2 linked regions of the Macaca fascicularis genome follow. The protein of the gene in region 1 binds, or shares a complex with, the protein of each later gene. Links are inferred from orthologs where the notes say so. Each region holds a gene or a part of one and is shown on either strand. Other genes may lie near its edges.

The links.
Region 2: the proteins of CDK5R1 (region 1) and CDK5 are in contact, whole or in part, in a crystal structure (PDB 3O0G), measured with the Homo sapiens proteins. The link is inferred for Macaca fascicularis from reciprocal best matches to the Homo sapiens genes CDK5R1 and CDK5. Residues at the interface, in NP_003876.1 of Homo sapiens: Trp190, Gln193, Thr197, Pro198, Ala199, Phe203, Tyr231, Leu232, Ser235, Tyr236, Met237, Gly238, Asn239, Glu240, Ile241, Ser242, Tyr243, Pro244, Leu245, Lys254, Glu255, Trp258, Asp259, Cys261, Leu262, Ile265, Asn266, Ser269, Ser270, Met272; in NP_004926.1 of Homo sapiens: Leu37, Asp38, Glu42, Gly43, Pro45, Ser46, Ser47, Leu49, Arg50, Ile52, Cys53, Leu54, Lys56, Glu57, Val69, His71, Leu76, Arg120, Asn121, Val122, Leu147, Arg149, Ala150, Phe151, Gly152, Ile153, Pro154, Arg156, Cys157, Tyr158.

Annotation. Positions count from the first base shown.
Region 1 is NC_088390.1:38,865,486-38,872,293, forward strand, and holds the start of CDK5R1 (cyclin-dependent kinase 5 activator 1), read left to right. Parts: upstream 1-3,064; 5' UTR 3,065-3,239; intron 3,240-3,547; 5' UTR 3,548-3,688; coding exon 3,689-4,612; 3' UTR 4,613-6,808. UniProt on the Homo sapiens protein: p35 is a neuron specific activator of CDK5. The complex p35/CDK5 is required for neurite outgrowth and cortical lamination. Involved in dendritic spine morphogenesis by mediating the EFNA1-EPHA4 signaling. Activator of TPKII.
Region 2 is NC_088377.1:192,333,893-192,340,900, reverse strand, and holds the start of CDK5 (cyclin-dependent kinase 5), read left to right. Parts: upstream 1-3,218; 5' UTR 3,219-3,264; coding exon 3,265-3,301; intron 3,302-3,829; coding exon of another isoform or gene 3,830-3,856; exon of another isoform or gene 3,857-3,925; intron 3,926-3,948; coding exon 3,949-4,037; intron 4,038-4,134; coding exon 4,135-4,202; intron 4,203-4,313; coding exon 4,314-4,374; intron 4,375-4,473; coding exon 4,474-4,530; intron 4,531-5,260; coding exon 5,261-5,356; intron 5,357-5,502; coding exon 5,503-5,577; intron 5,578-5,736; coding exon 5,737-5,833; intron 5,834-6,013; coding exon 6,014-6,083; intron 6,084-6,653; coding exon 6,654-6,714; intron 6,715-6,829; coding exon 6,830-6,910; intron 6,911-7,008. Other genes in the region: uncharacterized protein, read right to left, coding at 3,830-3,856. UniProt on the Homo sapiens protein: Proline-directed serine/threonine-protein kinase essential for neuronal cell cycle arrest and differentiation and may be involved in apoptotic cell death in neuronal diseases by triggering abortive cell cycle re-entry. Interacts with D1 and D3-type G1 cyclins.

The sequences.
Region 1 (6,808 bases):
GATGAAGGCAGCTAGGAAGAAAACAGCCCTGCCTCATTCAACTGGGTTTGCCTTCTGGGTCCTTGATTCTGCCGTTTCTGGCAGTTGACTGCCCTTTCTTCCTTGCTTCCAGTTGGAGCAGTGATAGGAATTGGGGGTGGGGAGGTGGTGGTGGGTTGAGTGAAAAGAGGAGCTGTGTGGTGTCTGAAAACGAGCATAACAGGCATGGCCTGGGTAGGTAGGAGCTCCTGGAGACCCCTTCCCTCAGTCGCAGCAGTAAGTGGGCTGTCAGTGCCATTCCATTCCTGCTGTGCTGCAACTGTGACTTTGCTTGGACAAGTGTGAGGAGGCTGGTGTTCTGCCGAGAGCTCTTTTTGAAGGTGCTAGGGAAAGGCTGGCTGGACAAAGGTGAGAGGACACAGGGTGCGGCCTGGCTTGAAAAGGGCCATGCAGAGGCATGCCGCTCTGGTGTGGGAAGCAGGGTAGTGGGGTGAGCTTGGTCTGCTTCCCTGTGAATTAATTGGAATAGCTAGCATTGAGATTGAGAGTTAAAGGTAACAACAGAGTAGGCCCAGGTTTTTCTAGGGGGTGGATTTTTCTTTTTTTTAGCTGAAGTCTCACTCTGTCACCCAGGCTGGAAGGTAGTGGTGTGATACCGGCTCACTGCAACCACTGCCTCCCAGGTTCAAGCGATTCTCCTGCCTTAGCCTCCTGAGTAGCTGGGACTACAGGCGCCTGCCACCACGGCCAGCTAATTTTTTTTTTTAGTAGAGACGGGTTGTTCACCATGTTGGCCAGGCTGGTCTCAAACTCCTGACCTCAGGTGATCCACCTGCCTTGGCCTCCGAAACTGCTGGACACGGTGTGGCACCACGCCCCGCCGGGGTGGATTATAGGCTTCAAAATTTGGACATGTTTTGGGAAGTGGAAAACATTTAACCTTGGCTCAACACTAGAATCTGAAGGGGGGCACAGAGCCAACTCAGAAGCTAGAGGCTCCAAGTAGGGGCTGAGGAAAAGAGGCTGGGGTTCGGCTTTCCTTTGAGAAGGAAGAGGGACACTTGGTCAGGGTCTCAAAGGAGATTGTTTCTTCTGGCTCCTTTTTTTTTTTTTTTTTTTTTTTGAGATTTGCTCTTGTTTCCCAGGCTGGAGTGCAATGGTGCGATCTTGGCTCACTGCAACCTCCGTCTCCCAGGTTCAAGCAATTCTCCTGCCTCAGCCTCCTGAGTAGCTGGGATTACCGGCATGCGTCACCACGCCCGGCTAATTTTTTTTTGTATTTTTAGTACAGATGGGGTTTCACCATTTGGCCAGGCTGGTCTTGAACTCTTGACCTCAGGTGATCCGCCCGCCTCAGCCTCCCAAAGTGCTGGGAATTACAGGCATGAGCCACCATGTCTGGCCTCTTCTGGCTTCTTACTGTTAGATGCAGGAGGGTTGAGGACAGCTCCATGTGAAGAGCAGGTAGGCTTGTACACCAAGGAACATTCACAGGGAGGGGCACACTGAGCTGGGAGCCTGCCTTCCTCTTCTGAGTTCCCCTAACAGCTGCTGTGGATGTTCTGAAGGGCTGTGGACAAAGTTGTCCTCTGGGTACAGAGCAATGGACTTTCCACTGTATGCCTGCCCCCTAAGGTTCCTAAAGCCTGGAATTCCCATTGACAGAAATTTCTGAGTGGCACATAAACAAAATCCAGCACTTTCTGCCGTGATTGCAGCATTTTGAATGATGTCAGATTCCCATTCTGTTCCCCCTAGGGCAGTTGACAGGGCTGGTGCAGGGTGAAAGCCTAGTGGGCCAGAGTGGTCAGGTAATTGGGTGTCATCCTCTCCTCTGGAGTGCCACTACATCATCTCTAGGTCCAGAGATGATCTGGATTAAGACAGGGCTTAAGTCTCCTGTTTCCCAGGTTTGTGGTCAGTTTTGACTCAATCTTCAGAAACAAGGTAAAATAGTAAATGAACAACGGCCTTTGTGAAGGATCTGGATTCACATCCGACAGGAACAGCTCTTTGAGAACCAGAATTTTACTCAATTTCGCTAGCATCAAGTTCTTAAATTATACATACTTAGAACTGAAAACGTTTAAGAGGGTCAGAAAGCTGGCCAGAGGGGCAGTTGCTTCAGCTTTAATACAACAAAGAGGGCGAGTGGGAACTTCGAGGTCATATTTGTGACGGACTCAGGCTTGGCTCTTGGTGGCCCGGAACTGCTACGGGCCACGCTTCTCTGGCTTGGATTTCTGAGGCCCACTCGGGCCACGGGCATCTACCCCGGGATGAGGGAACGGAGGCCCCAGAAGGGTGGCCAGAAACGATGGGACTGTCCACTCGAGGTGCGCCTGGCACTTGGGAGGTCTCAGTAAAGGCTTCGCCTCTCCCCGCCCAGGGCCTTCTTTCCCGCGCTCCCTGGCTGCTTTCCACAGGGACGGGGATGTCAGGTGGAAGGAGGGAGCTACCGGCCCTGGCCTCGGCGGAGGGCTCCTCACCAGGGCCCGGGCGGCAGCCTCCGAGAGGGCGGGCCGCGCGCTGCCAGGGCAGGACTCGACCGAGAGCGCCCCCGCGGCCGGCAGCTGCGGGCGCCGCGGCGGGAACAAAGACAGCACGTGTCTGGGCGGGGCGCGGGCGGGGTCGGCCCTCAGCCCCGCCCTGCTCGGCGCCCGCCGAGCGTCAGCAGAGTTGGGCTGCGCGGGCGCCCGGGACTCTCAGGCGGCCGGGCTGCTGTTGGGCGGCGGCGCGGAGCCGGCGGCGAGCTGTGCGGGAGGGGCGGTCCCGAGGGGCGGGGCGGGCCGGCGCCGCGTGTCCCGCCGCCGCCGCCGAGTCCGGCTCCTAGATGGGGCCCGGTGCGTAGAGGTGCCTCCCGCTCGTCGCCGCGTCCTACCTGCACCGTGCGCGGCTCGAGCTGAGGACATCAACGGCCGCAACTCCCCGGCGAGACCAGGCCGGCGCGTGGACGGCGCGCGCGCCCCGCGAGGGAGGGCGCTGAGGCGCGCGCCGGGAGCGGGAGCGGGAGCGCGGCGGCGGCGGCAGCGGCGGCGGCGAAGGTGCGGGCGGCCGAGCCGGGGGGCGGGGCCGCGGCGCCTGCAGAACCTTGGACAGAAGCTGCCGAGCCGCAGCCACCGCCGCCGCCGCCGCCGTCGCCGCCGCCGAGCGCGGGCACAGCCGATCCCCGCCGAGCGCTCCCGAGCGCCGGGACCGCGGCGGCAGAGCCGCGGCGCGCATTGCGGAGGGCGCGGAGCGCAGGAGCTGCCGCCTGCCGGGTAAGCCTGCGCTGGGCGGCCGTCCTTGGCCCAGAGGAGCCGGGCCCGGGTCGCGCCCGTGCGGGGTGTCCAGGCGGGGGTCTTCGTCCGCCTCCGTCGGCGCCCGGGCCCCTCCCAGCTGCGCTTGGGGACCGCAGCGGCGGCGGCGGGCGGGGGTGCTGCAGTGGAGGCGGCGAGGCTGCGGCGCGGGGGCGCGGGGCCGCGGGTAGGGCCCGGGACTGGGGCCGCGGGGTCCGCGGAGGCGCGGGGCGGAGGGGCGCGGCGCGGAGCCCAGCTTGGCGCTAAGAACCATCTTGTTTTCCAGGCAGATCCAAGGGGGCAGCACGCTTCCCGGGAGCGCCCCCGCCTCCTCCCCGGGGCCACCGCAGGCTCCGTGAGTGGTTTTATCCCTCCGGCCGGCAGGCTGGGCGCGCAGGGGCGCGAGCCCCCGCCCGGCGCGCAGCGGCACCATGGGCACGGTGCTGTCCCTGTCCCCCAGCTACCGGAAGGCCACGCTGTTTGAGGATGGCGCGGCCACCGTGGGCCACTATACGGCCGTACAGAACAGCAAGAACGCCAAGGACAAGAACCTGAAGCGCCACTCCATCATCTCCGTGCTGCCTTGGAAGAGAATCGTGGCCGTGTCGGCCAAGAAGAAGAACTCCAAGAAGGTGCAGCCCAACAGCAGCTACCAGAACAACATCACGCACCTCAACAATGAGAACCTGAAGAAGTCGCTGTCGTGCGCCAACCTGTCCACATTCGCCCAGCCCCCACCGGCCCAGCCGCCCGCACCCCCGGCCAGCCAGCTCTCGGGCTCCCAGACCGGGGGCTCCTCCTCGGTCAAGAAAGCCCCTCACCCTGCCGTCACCTCCGCAGGGACGCCCAAACGGGTCATCGTCCAGGCGTCCACCAGCGAGCTGCTGCGCTGCCTGGGTGAGTTTCTCTGCCGCCGGTGCTACCGCCTGAAGCACCTGTCCCCCACGGACCCCGTGCTCTGGCTGCGCAGCGTGGACCGCTCGCTGCTTCTGCAGGGCTGGCAGGACCAGGGCTTCATCACGCCGGCCAACGTGGTCTTCCTCTACATGCTCTGCAGGGATGTTATCTCCTCCGAGGTGGGCTCGGATCACGAGCTCCAGGCCGTCCTGCTGACGTGCCTGTACCTCTCCTACTCCTACATGGGCAACGAGATCTCCTACCCGCTCAAGCCCTTCCTGGTGGAGAGCTGCAAGGAGGCCTTTTGGGACCGTTGCCTCTCTGTCATCAACCTCATGAGCTCAAAGATGCTGCAGATAAATGCCGACCCACACTACTTCACACAGGTCTTCTCCGACCTGAAGAACGAGAGCAGCCAGGAGGACAAGAAGCGGCTCCTCCTAGGCCTGGATCGGTGAGCACTGTAGCCTGCGCCATGGCTCAAGGATTCAATGCATTTTTAAAAATTTATTATTAAATCAGTTTTGTGTACAGTATGTGTCTAGCAAAGCCACCAAGGGCCTCACCTTTCCCACAGTCTCTCCCTGGGGTTTTTTCAGCCCTGCCAAGAACTCTGGGCACTTTTGAACTCACGAGCCTTGCGCAAAACCCAGAAGATGTATTCGGAGCCACCCAGGCCACTGACCTCCCACTTTGGGGAACTCAAAGAACTGACCTGCCCCTGCCGCCTGTGCCCTTGCTGGGTCCAGGGTAGGCGAGGCTGCCGGCTGCACCCTGTATGGCGCTAGAGAGGGGACTCTGGCTGCCTGACCCAGGGAGGAATTGGGGTTTCTGGTTGGAGGCCCTTTTCTGGCTCCTGTGTGGAGTTACTCGCTCTCCCAGAGGCTCCTGGAGCCATCCACCCTAACTGAGCTGCCAGTGGGGTCATGAGGCAGGATCCCCGCTGCGCTGGGACATCTTCAATCTAGGCGAGGCGAAGCTGAGCAGGTCTAGTGGAAAGACTGTGTCTGGTCGTTTGACCACACACCGCCCTGATTTGCTGTTTTCTTTTTTAGGGAGAAGGGCTTTCCTTTAGTGGAGAAATGGAACTCGCCCGTTGCCCCCTTGTCTGCTGCTCACAGCCGCATTGCTGGTATTGGCCGATGAGCTGCTTTGACTCATTACTTTTTCTCATTTTGGGTCCCAGCTAAAGAGGTGGGGTGAAGCTGGAGACGACTTTCCTGGGTGAATTTTTCTTTTGAATAATGCAGTGCAGTCGCCCTGTGGCAAATGCCAGGACAGCTGCAGGTGCCCATTAGCAACGCCTGCCTTCTGGGCAAGGTGAGGGATGCCATACCTTGAGACCAAGCCGGTGCCCACCTAAGGGCTAAGGCCTCTTGCTGGTGCACATGACATTTGTCCTGCAGAGCTGGGGGGAAGGCGATGTGGTGGCCCCACCCCCACCCCTGTTAATTTAAAGCTGTTTCCAAACAGTTGAGTTTCTTCTAAAGAGGAAGACTTGCCCCACAGGGACCAGTGAGACAGCTGGATCTTGGAGACAATTACAAGACGGGAGTGAGACTCCTGATTGCTCTGGAAGCCTGCTGATTTCTACAACTGATCATTTGCCGCTGCTGGTTTTGGTTTCCACCTTCCCCTACTGGCTGTAAAAACACAAATGTGTACTTTATTGATTTTCTTTCTCATTCTCCCGTATTGGTGGCTTGGGACTTGGGAGAGGGAGCAAGCCTTCCTCCATGGCCCGTCACTCTGCTGTGGAGAACAAAGACCAATGTGAAGACGCTACAGAGGATTCTGTCTTCCAGGCCCAGTCCCCCCAGGAGTGCTGGAATGGGGACCTGGGGTGGGGAGGCAGAGGGTCACTTTACATAGGATTAGGTTCAAGGTGGTTACCAATTTCAGCACAAGCACTACTGAAATTTACACAAAAAGAAAGCTGTGAAATTGAAGTCCCAGTGTTAAGAGTCCTGAAGCAGAACCTGGTGGCCGGAGGCATTCCCAGAGGTGGGGAAGAGAGCCTGCCCTGCCGGAGAGCAGCTGCCTGGCTGCACCTGAGGCCCAGCGGAGCCGTTCCTAGGACTGTCGGATAATCGGTGCAGCATTGGAAGGAGCCTGCGGCTGCTGGCACAGACTTCACACAGCACCTCCTCTCTGCTGGGTTTCCACACAGCCTGTCTTCAGATCCTGCTGCCGCGTGCGACCAGAGGTGGGATGCCCCTGGTGGCATGGAAGAGGGAGGGTCAGTGCCAAGTCTCAGGAGGAGGGCGCATGTGTGTATCACCTTCAGCTGGTGGAACCTGACCTGGAGTTGTGCGGTTACATTGCATCCACAGGATTCCAGTTGCGTGTCTGTTTCCTTCTCTTTCTCCGTATTTATTTTTTTATTCTTTGGAAGAGGTGGACATTTTGGAAGTGGTGGGGACTAAGGGAAGAACTCTATAGTTCCCTCAGTGTGAAGCCTGTCGTGTTCCCTCTCTTCCCTTGCACTGGTCATCAGTATTGTGTAAAGGAACAACTGATATACTTGAGTGTGCAAGCAAAGAACCCATTTGCCATGCTGCTATGAAGACTACTTTTAGAACAACAATAAAAAAAAAACCTACAAAAAAACCTTTATTCTTTAATTGTTGCTTTTACAGTGATATTGTGCATGC
Region 2 (7,008 bases), on another chromosome or scaffold:
AAAATCTGAGTGGCAGCGCTGCCATCCTCCTGACTGTGACTGTAGGGAGTCTGGGGAGGACACTGTATGGTGGGGGCAGAGAAGGAGCTGCAGGAGGGAGCCCAATCCCTGCAAATAGGGGGCCTATTCCTAGTGGGTCAGCACAGGGGACACCCAAGACTGGCAAAAAGTGATGGTACCGATGCTCCCAGTGTGTTGCTGGGGACTGGGGGTGCCCGACTCAGGAGTAAGACAAGTCAGTGTAGGGTCAAACAATATAGGTCGGGGGGGGCTCACCCAGGATGGGGAGCCTGGCAACACATTCTTGGCAAGCACTCCAATTCGGCTAACTACGCTCTTCCCCTCCCCCTCAGCAGGCCTTCAGCCAGGGCGAGCGGTGTGGGTGAGCGTGAGGGCACCCAGTTTGGGAAGGTTGTGGGAAGAGTCCGCCCTGAGCACCTGCAGGCGCCCACTCCCACCTCAGGCTGTGCCCTCAACGCGCTCCTCCACACTCTTCTGCACCCCCTCCCCCGCTGTCCCAGAACACAAAGCAGCTTCTGTCCAGAGCATCGGTGCCGATAATCCGGGTAGGGGCACATTCCTCGGACCAGCCCCGACCGGCCCAGAGGATTAGCATCTCTCCCCTTGCCCAAAGGATTAGCATCTCAGACCCCCACTTGGGCATTAACCACCCCCCAAGTGAACTCGTAAATTCCACAGCTCTTCCATGTGGAACTGGCGGGGGAAACCAAGCGGGATAAAGTAGACCCTGGATTTCAGGCAGTGCCGTCTCTCACACCCAGCACAGAACTCCCCGCCTAGACAAACCGACCCCGGGAGTCAGGTCCAACTCTCCGGGCTCGTCTTTCCCATCCCCACCCAGCTGCTCCCTCTTCTGCCTGACCCCTTGTCCCGACCTTACCCGCCACCCGCCTTTCCTGGCTTCGCCTCCCAACCCGGAGACTGGGGATGGAGGCCCCGGGCAACCCCCAGTCTGGGCGCCCCGGACGGGACTGAAGGACTATGCGGGGTGGCCGGAGGGGAGGGATGGTCTGGAGCCAGCCGGGGAGTGGGAGGGCCGGCGGCTCCTCAGGGAGACTACCCACTCCTGGTGGCAGGGGGCGCGGCACCATGGCTTTAGGGAACTCTGAGAAAGGGACCCCGGAATGCCCGCCTCCGACCAGCACTCCATCCGCCTCCTCATCCTTCTCCCCAAGACCGCGGTTCCCCGCGCCCCAGTCTCCGCCCTTTCCTCCACTTCCACTCCCTCCCTGCTCGAGTCCCGAGTTCCCCCCTCTCCTTCCCCCTCCCTTCCTCCCTCCGCGGCCCTGGCCCTCCCCCGCCACCGCCTCTCCGCTTACCCGCTCGCTCTGGACTTCGTGCCCCGGGGGTCTCGGGGTCTCTCCCCGTCCTCCGGCACCCTCGCGCGCTCCCGACTACTGCCCCGTGCCCACCCCGGGGCGCGCCCCCGCCGCTCCCAACTTCTCCCAACTCAACTTTCCCCCGCGCCACGGGCAGGCCAGCCCCCTGCGTGCGCGCCCCCCGGCGCACCGTGCGCGGTCCCGCCGCCGCGGGTGGGGAGGCGGGAGCGGGGGCAGGGGCGGGGGCGCGCTTCCAGGCACAGCCCGGCACCAGGGGCCGCCCCCGCCGTCCCTCTGCCCCAAGCTTCCCCACTCCGGGCTTGGAAGCCCCGAGGATGCCGTCTCTTGGCTCCATTACGGCACCTCTGGGTGGAAAGGAGCCCGCCTCACGCTACGGATCCCAGGCAGTAAAACGCAGGCACAAGGAAATTCGGAGAAGTCGAAACATAAACGTATCGGGATTGAGATTCTCTTGCGGCCCCCCTCCCAAATAACCCCCGTGCCTCCAAGAAAGCCCCTGAGGGACGGTGGCGAGCAGGTGAGAAGGGTGACAGCGGCTGGAAGCTGGCTGCCCAGTACCCTGAGCTGATCTGGGAGAGGGCAACTTGTTAGGGGCTCCCCACTTCCTGAGAGGGACAGAGATTCGCTATGGTGGCCTCCTTCCTCTTGAATGGAACCTCCACACTGAATCGAACCCTAGTCATAGTCATCACTTATCATTCAAGACCTGTGTGTAGTTCTTGTTTGCCCAACGAAATCACAAAGTCTTCCAGATAAGGAATGTACTTTTCGCTTCTTTTCTCTTGTGTATGCAAAAGCATTCAGATAGAAACGAGTTAATTAACACGTGTTTGGCAGTAACTCTGGTTCCGGTGCCGAGGAGTGCTGTTTGGGATCCTTTTCCCTCGGTCCGTAGCCCTCAAGAATGCAATCATGAGACAATTAGAGAGGCAGCGCAAGGGAATCTATAATCAACTCCTTTAAGGGATGAGGTAGAGGCTGCTGCAAGTTGAGCATCGGTCTGTGGTCTTGTCTGTGGAGGGGGTTAACCAACCTGCCGGCCACACCCTGGCTGACTCCAGTGGGCCCCGTTCCGGAGACTGGGGTCTGGGGGGACCTCCAGGGCTCCACCCAGCTTTTCTCAGCATGTCAGAGTTCAGCGGCTGGAGTCGGGTGGGCTCCGAGACAACAAACGGGGCCCAGCAGAGAGAGGGGTCTTTGGCGTGTGTCCCTCCACTAAAATCCAGCCTCAAAGGGGCACAGCTGTTCTCTTCCCAGCCCTGCGGTCAGCTGTTCCCTGTGAGGTCATCATCGCTCACATGCATTCCCCAGTGAATCCTGGTGTCACTAGGTGGCTTGGGGAGAGGTGGAGGAAACCCGTGCTGAGGTCGTCAAGAGGCCGTTGGGAACTCAACGCCACCAACCAGGTCAGAGCTGGGCCGCCAAGGCTCGGGATCTAGGCCGCCAAACCCCAAACCCCTAACCGAGAGCGCTCCGCCCCCATCCCCGCTGCATTCTGGAACGCGTAGTCCCGGAGCAGCCCTTTTCAAGAAGGCTGGGAGCACATAAAAGGAATAACAACAGCGGGGCACGCTGGGAACCGCGGCGCCGCGGCGGGGCGCCCGGAAAACGGACACGCGTTGCTCCCTGGGACTTGAAGTCCAGGGTTTTGCCTCCGCGGTGGAACCGGAGCCCTGGAGTCTAGTGCTGCAGAGAGCGTGAGCGCAGACGGCTGGGGTTTGTAGTCTTCTTGTCCTCGGTCTCGGGCACTGCGGGGAGACCTTGTTGTCTTAGGACTACAAGCCCCAGAAGGTACTGCGCGGCCAGGCGGGGCGGGGCTGGAGGCTCGGGTGCCGCCTCCTCTGCAACGCCGGGGCCAGAGTCTTAAAACCGAGGGCCCGCAGGGGTCCCCGCGGCCGCCGCGATGCAGAAATACGAGAAACTGGAAAAGATTGGGGAAGGTAATGGAATCTCAAGATGTTCCTGCAAGAGCCCCTCTGCAGATCCTTCGGCATTCCTTGCAGCCCTGGCTCCCTTACCGTCAGCAATACCTACAGGCTCCGACCTCAGCAGCGGCTGCAGCCCTGGCCCCCGAGCTCAGCACTCCGTGCAGACACCAGTCTTCCCGGTGTTAGCATTTCCCGCAGGCTCTCACTCCAACCTTAGCGTTCCCAGTAGACCCGACCTCCCAACCGCGACACTTCCTGAATTTCTCACCCCAGCCTCAGCACCACTTGGACAACCTCACCCCGAGCCCCAGCCTCGGTTCTTGCTGCAGACCTCCAACCTCAATATTTCTGCAGCCCGTCAGTCCTCTCCCAGGCCCCTCCTCACCATTTCCAGACCCTTCCGGAGCACCGCCTTCATTTTAGACATCCTTGCCCTCGCAGCCGCACTCGCCCCTCCTGCTGAGCCCCTGGAGCCTCCGCGGGCACCTTCTCCTCCCTCCTCACCTGCCACATCCTCACTCACAAAGCTCACCCACCTACCTTCACCCTGAATCCCTTTCTTTGCATATTCAGACGCTGCCTTCACCTCCCGGGAGGCATTTCCTGGCTTAGGGAAGAGTGCCGCATCCTCCCCCTGACCCCTGACCTCCTTCCCCTAGGCACCTACGGAACAGTGTTCAAGGCCAAAAACCGGGAGACTCATGAGATCGTGGCTCTGAAACGGGTGAGGCTGGATGACGATGATGAGGTAGGACTGGGGACTGAGATAGGGCCTGGAGAGGGGGTTGAGGGCCTGGGCTGGGTGGGATCTGACTGCTGCCCACCCGGCCCCCTCACATATGCAGGGTGTGCCGAGTTCTGCCCTCCGGGAGATCTGCCTACTCAAGGAGCTCAAGCACAAGAACATCGTCAGGTGTGCGGGAGGCGGGTGCTCCTTGCCGGTGTGGCCGCTTGGGGGAGGCGGGGGCTGACACTGGACGTCTGTCAGGCGGACCTGCATGGCTGAGCCCTTCTTTTGCCCTAGGCTTCATGATGTCCTGCACAGTGACAAGAAGCTGACTTTGGTTTTTGAATTCTGTGACCAGGTGAAAGGCGGGGTTTGGGGGACAGTAGCCTTGGGAAGGTATAGGGGCCCAGACTGAGGTTAAACTCTGTCCCATTCCCCCACTCATATCCCTTTTCAGGACCTGAAGAAGTATTTTGATAGTTGCAATGGTGACCTTGATCCTGAGATTGTAAAGGTGAGGAGAGTGGTGTTGGGGGACCCCTCAGGCTGGGGTCAGAGTCTGCATTCAGTGTAAGCACTCCTTGGGCTCTAACTTTGGGCCCTGAACAAGGACGCTCTGGGATGTCAGAGAATGAGAAAACCCTGTTTCTGCCCTCTAGGAGCCTCCAGTCTTAGCAAACATTTTCACGTGGTCGTCTTTGACCCACACAGTGGCACTCTGACGTCAGTGATAGTATTTACATTCAGAGATGAGAAAATGAGGTTCAAGGAGATACACTCATTCATTCAATACATACTTACTGAATGCTTCACTGTGTGCCAGGTGCTCTTCTAGGCCCAAGACCAAATGCCTTGGTCCAGGTTCCAGGGGAGCCAGTCCTGAATGATACTACAGCATGATATTTATGTGCTGTAGTATCGTGTGCATACTCAGATGCCGCCAGGAAGGGAAGATCAGCATGGGCTAGGATCTAGGCGGGATCTAGGATCCACCTGGCAAGGCCCATTAGGCTATATGGTCCAGGAAGATGGGGACCAGGGCCAGTTTCTTCACTCTTGTCCCTCTAATGCCTAGTACAGTATAAAGCAGGTTCTGGATGGCGAATGAATGGTGTCACTCTGAACCAAGTGCTGAAAGGTGGGTGGGGTGGAGTGAAGCACAGGGTGAGGAGAGGAGCCACCCATTGCTGGGCACAGTTGCATGTTCAGGGCGTCTGACTCCCTTCTGCCTGCTCTCCTCCCAGTCATTCCTCTTCCAGCTACTGAAAGGCCTGGGATTCTGTCATAGCCGCAATGTGCTACACAGGGACCTGAAGCCCCAGAACCTGCTAATAAACAGGGTACTTCTTGGGAAGAAGGTGGGGAGTGGGAAGCCTGGGGCCAGGGCATGGGGAGCACGGAGGGAAGAGGACTGGGAGGATGGAGTCTGTGCTGTCCCAAGGCTGCTTAAAGGCCCTTCTCCATGTCCCCTTCCCATTCCCCTCAGAATGGGGAGCTGAAATTGGCTGATTTCGGCCTGGCTCGAGCCTTTGGGATCCCTGTCCGCTGTTACTCAGCTGAGGTGAGCTAGGAGATGGGATATGGGATTGGGGGAGGGAGTCCCTCAGCTCCAACCCCAGGACCCAAAACACTATTTTCCTCTCCTCTCTGAGCCTCCTCCTCAAACCTCCTCCCCAGCCCTCTAAGTGGGAGTCCCCTGTCGGGGGGCGGTCTCCTCCAGGTGGTCACACTGTGGTACCGCCCACCGGATGTCCTCTTTGGGGCCAAGCTGTACTCCACGTCCATCGACATGTGGTCAGCCGGCTGCATCTTTGCAGGTGACGTGCTGGGGCGCTCCAGAGGCACCTTCTTTCCCATTTGGGTTGACAAATAGGGTCTGGAGGGTTCCCTCTAGGGGAAGGGAGGGAGGCTCTGGGACTGGGGCTGGAAGGTCAGGGGGCACCTCAGAGTGAGGGGTCCTTCACATGTCACATCTTATCCCCCTATCTGCTCCCCAGAGCTGGCCAATGCTGGGCGGCCTCTTTTTCCCGGCAATGATGTTGATGACCAGTTGAAGAGGATCTTCCGATATCCTTGTTTTCCTCTGCCTTGAGCCCTCTGGGAGGGGACAGCCCATGGAGTTTTGAGTGCAGTGGGTGAGGGCAGTGATGGTGTGGGGTGGGGTGTTGGGGTCTGTAGGGCTTCTCTTGAGGGCAAGGGGAGACAGCAGAGGTGCTGGACACCCTGATTGTCACAGTGCAGATACACACTGGAGAAGGTATGGCTTGGAGACAGGCAGTGTGCCCTGGGGGGCAAAGCCAAGAGGGTGTCCCTCCAGGTGAGAGATGGATGCCAGGATGAAGGAGCCAAAGACAGCAGGACACATTTTGTGGGAGCGGGGCAAGGACCAGTTCATTAGGACTAGGACAGCAGCATGTGGGTTAGACTAGTTAGTGATTGTCATGGGAAACGTGGTTGGATGTACGAGTGACGTGCCCGGGGTTGCTTCTGTCAAGCTCAAGCCAGAGGGTAAAGGGAGGGTGAGAGAAGTAGGTGGTGGGTATGAGGAATCCTCCCCGGGAGGGGAAGAGGCCCTCACCCTGCCCCTGAAGATGCAGCTGTGGCCCTTTCCCAAGTGATCCTTGACTCCGTGGACACGCTGCTGGGGACGCCCACTGAGGAGCAGTGGCCCTCTATGACCAAGCTGCCAGACTATAAGGTGTGATGGGGAATTGGGGGGTCATGGTTCATCAGGGTCACTCTTGTTTCACATTCCTAGCAGCCTCCACCCCCCTCCCCCTACCTCTAGTCTGACCCTCCCTGCCTTTCCACAGCCCTACCCGATGTACCCGGCCACAACATCCCTGGTGAACGTCGTGCCCAAACTCAATGCCACGGGGAGGGACCTGCTGCAGGTAGGTGACTTGGGGTAGAGGGTGGGTCAGGACACTTGCCCAGAGGGGACTACAGGAAGGCAGGGCTCTGGGCAGTGACCTGTCCTGAACCTGCCGCC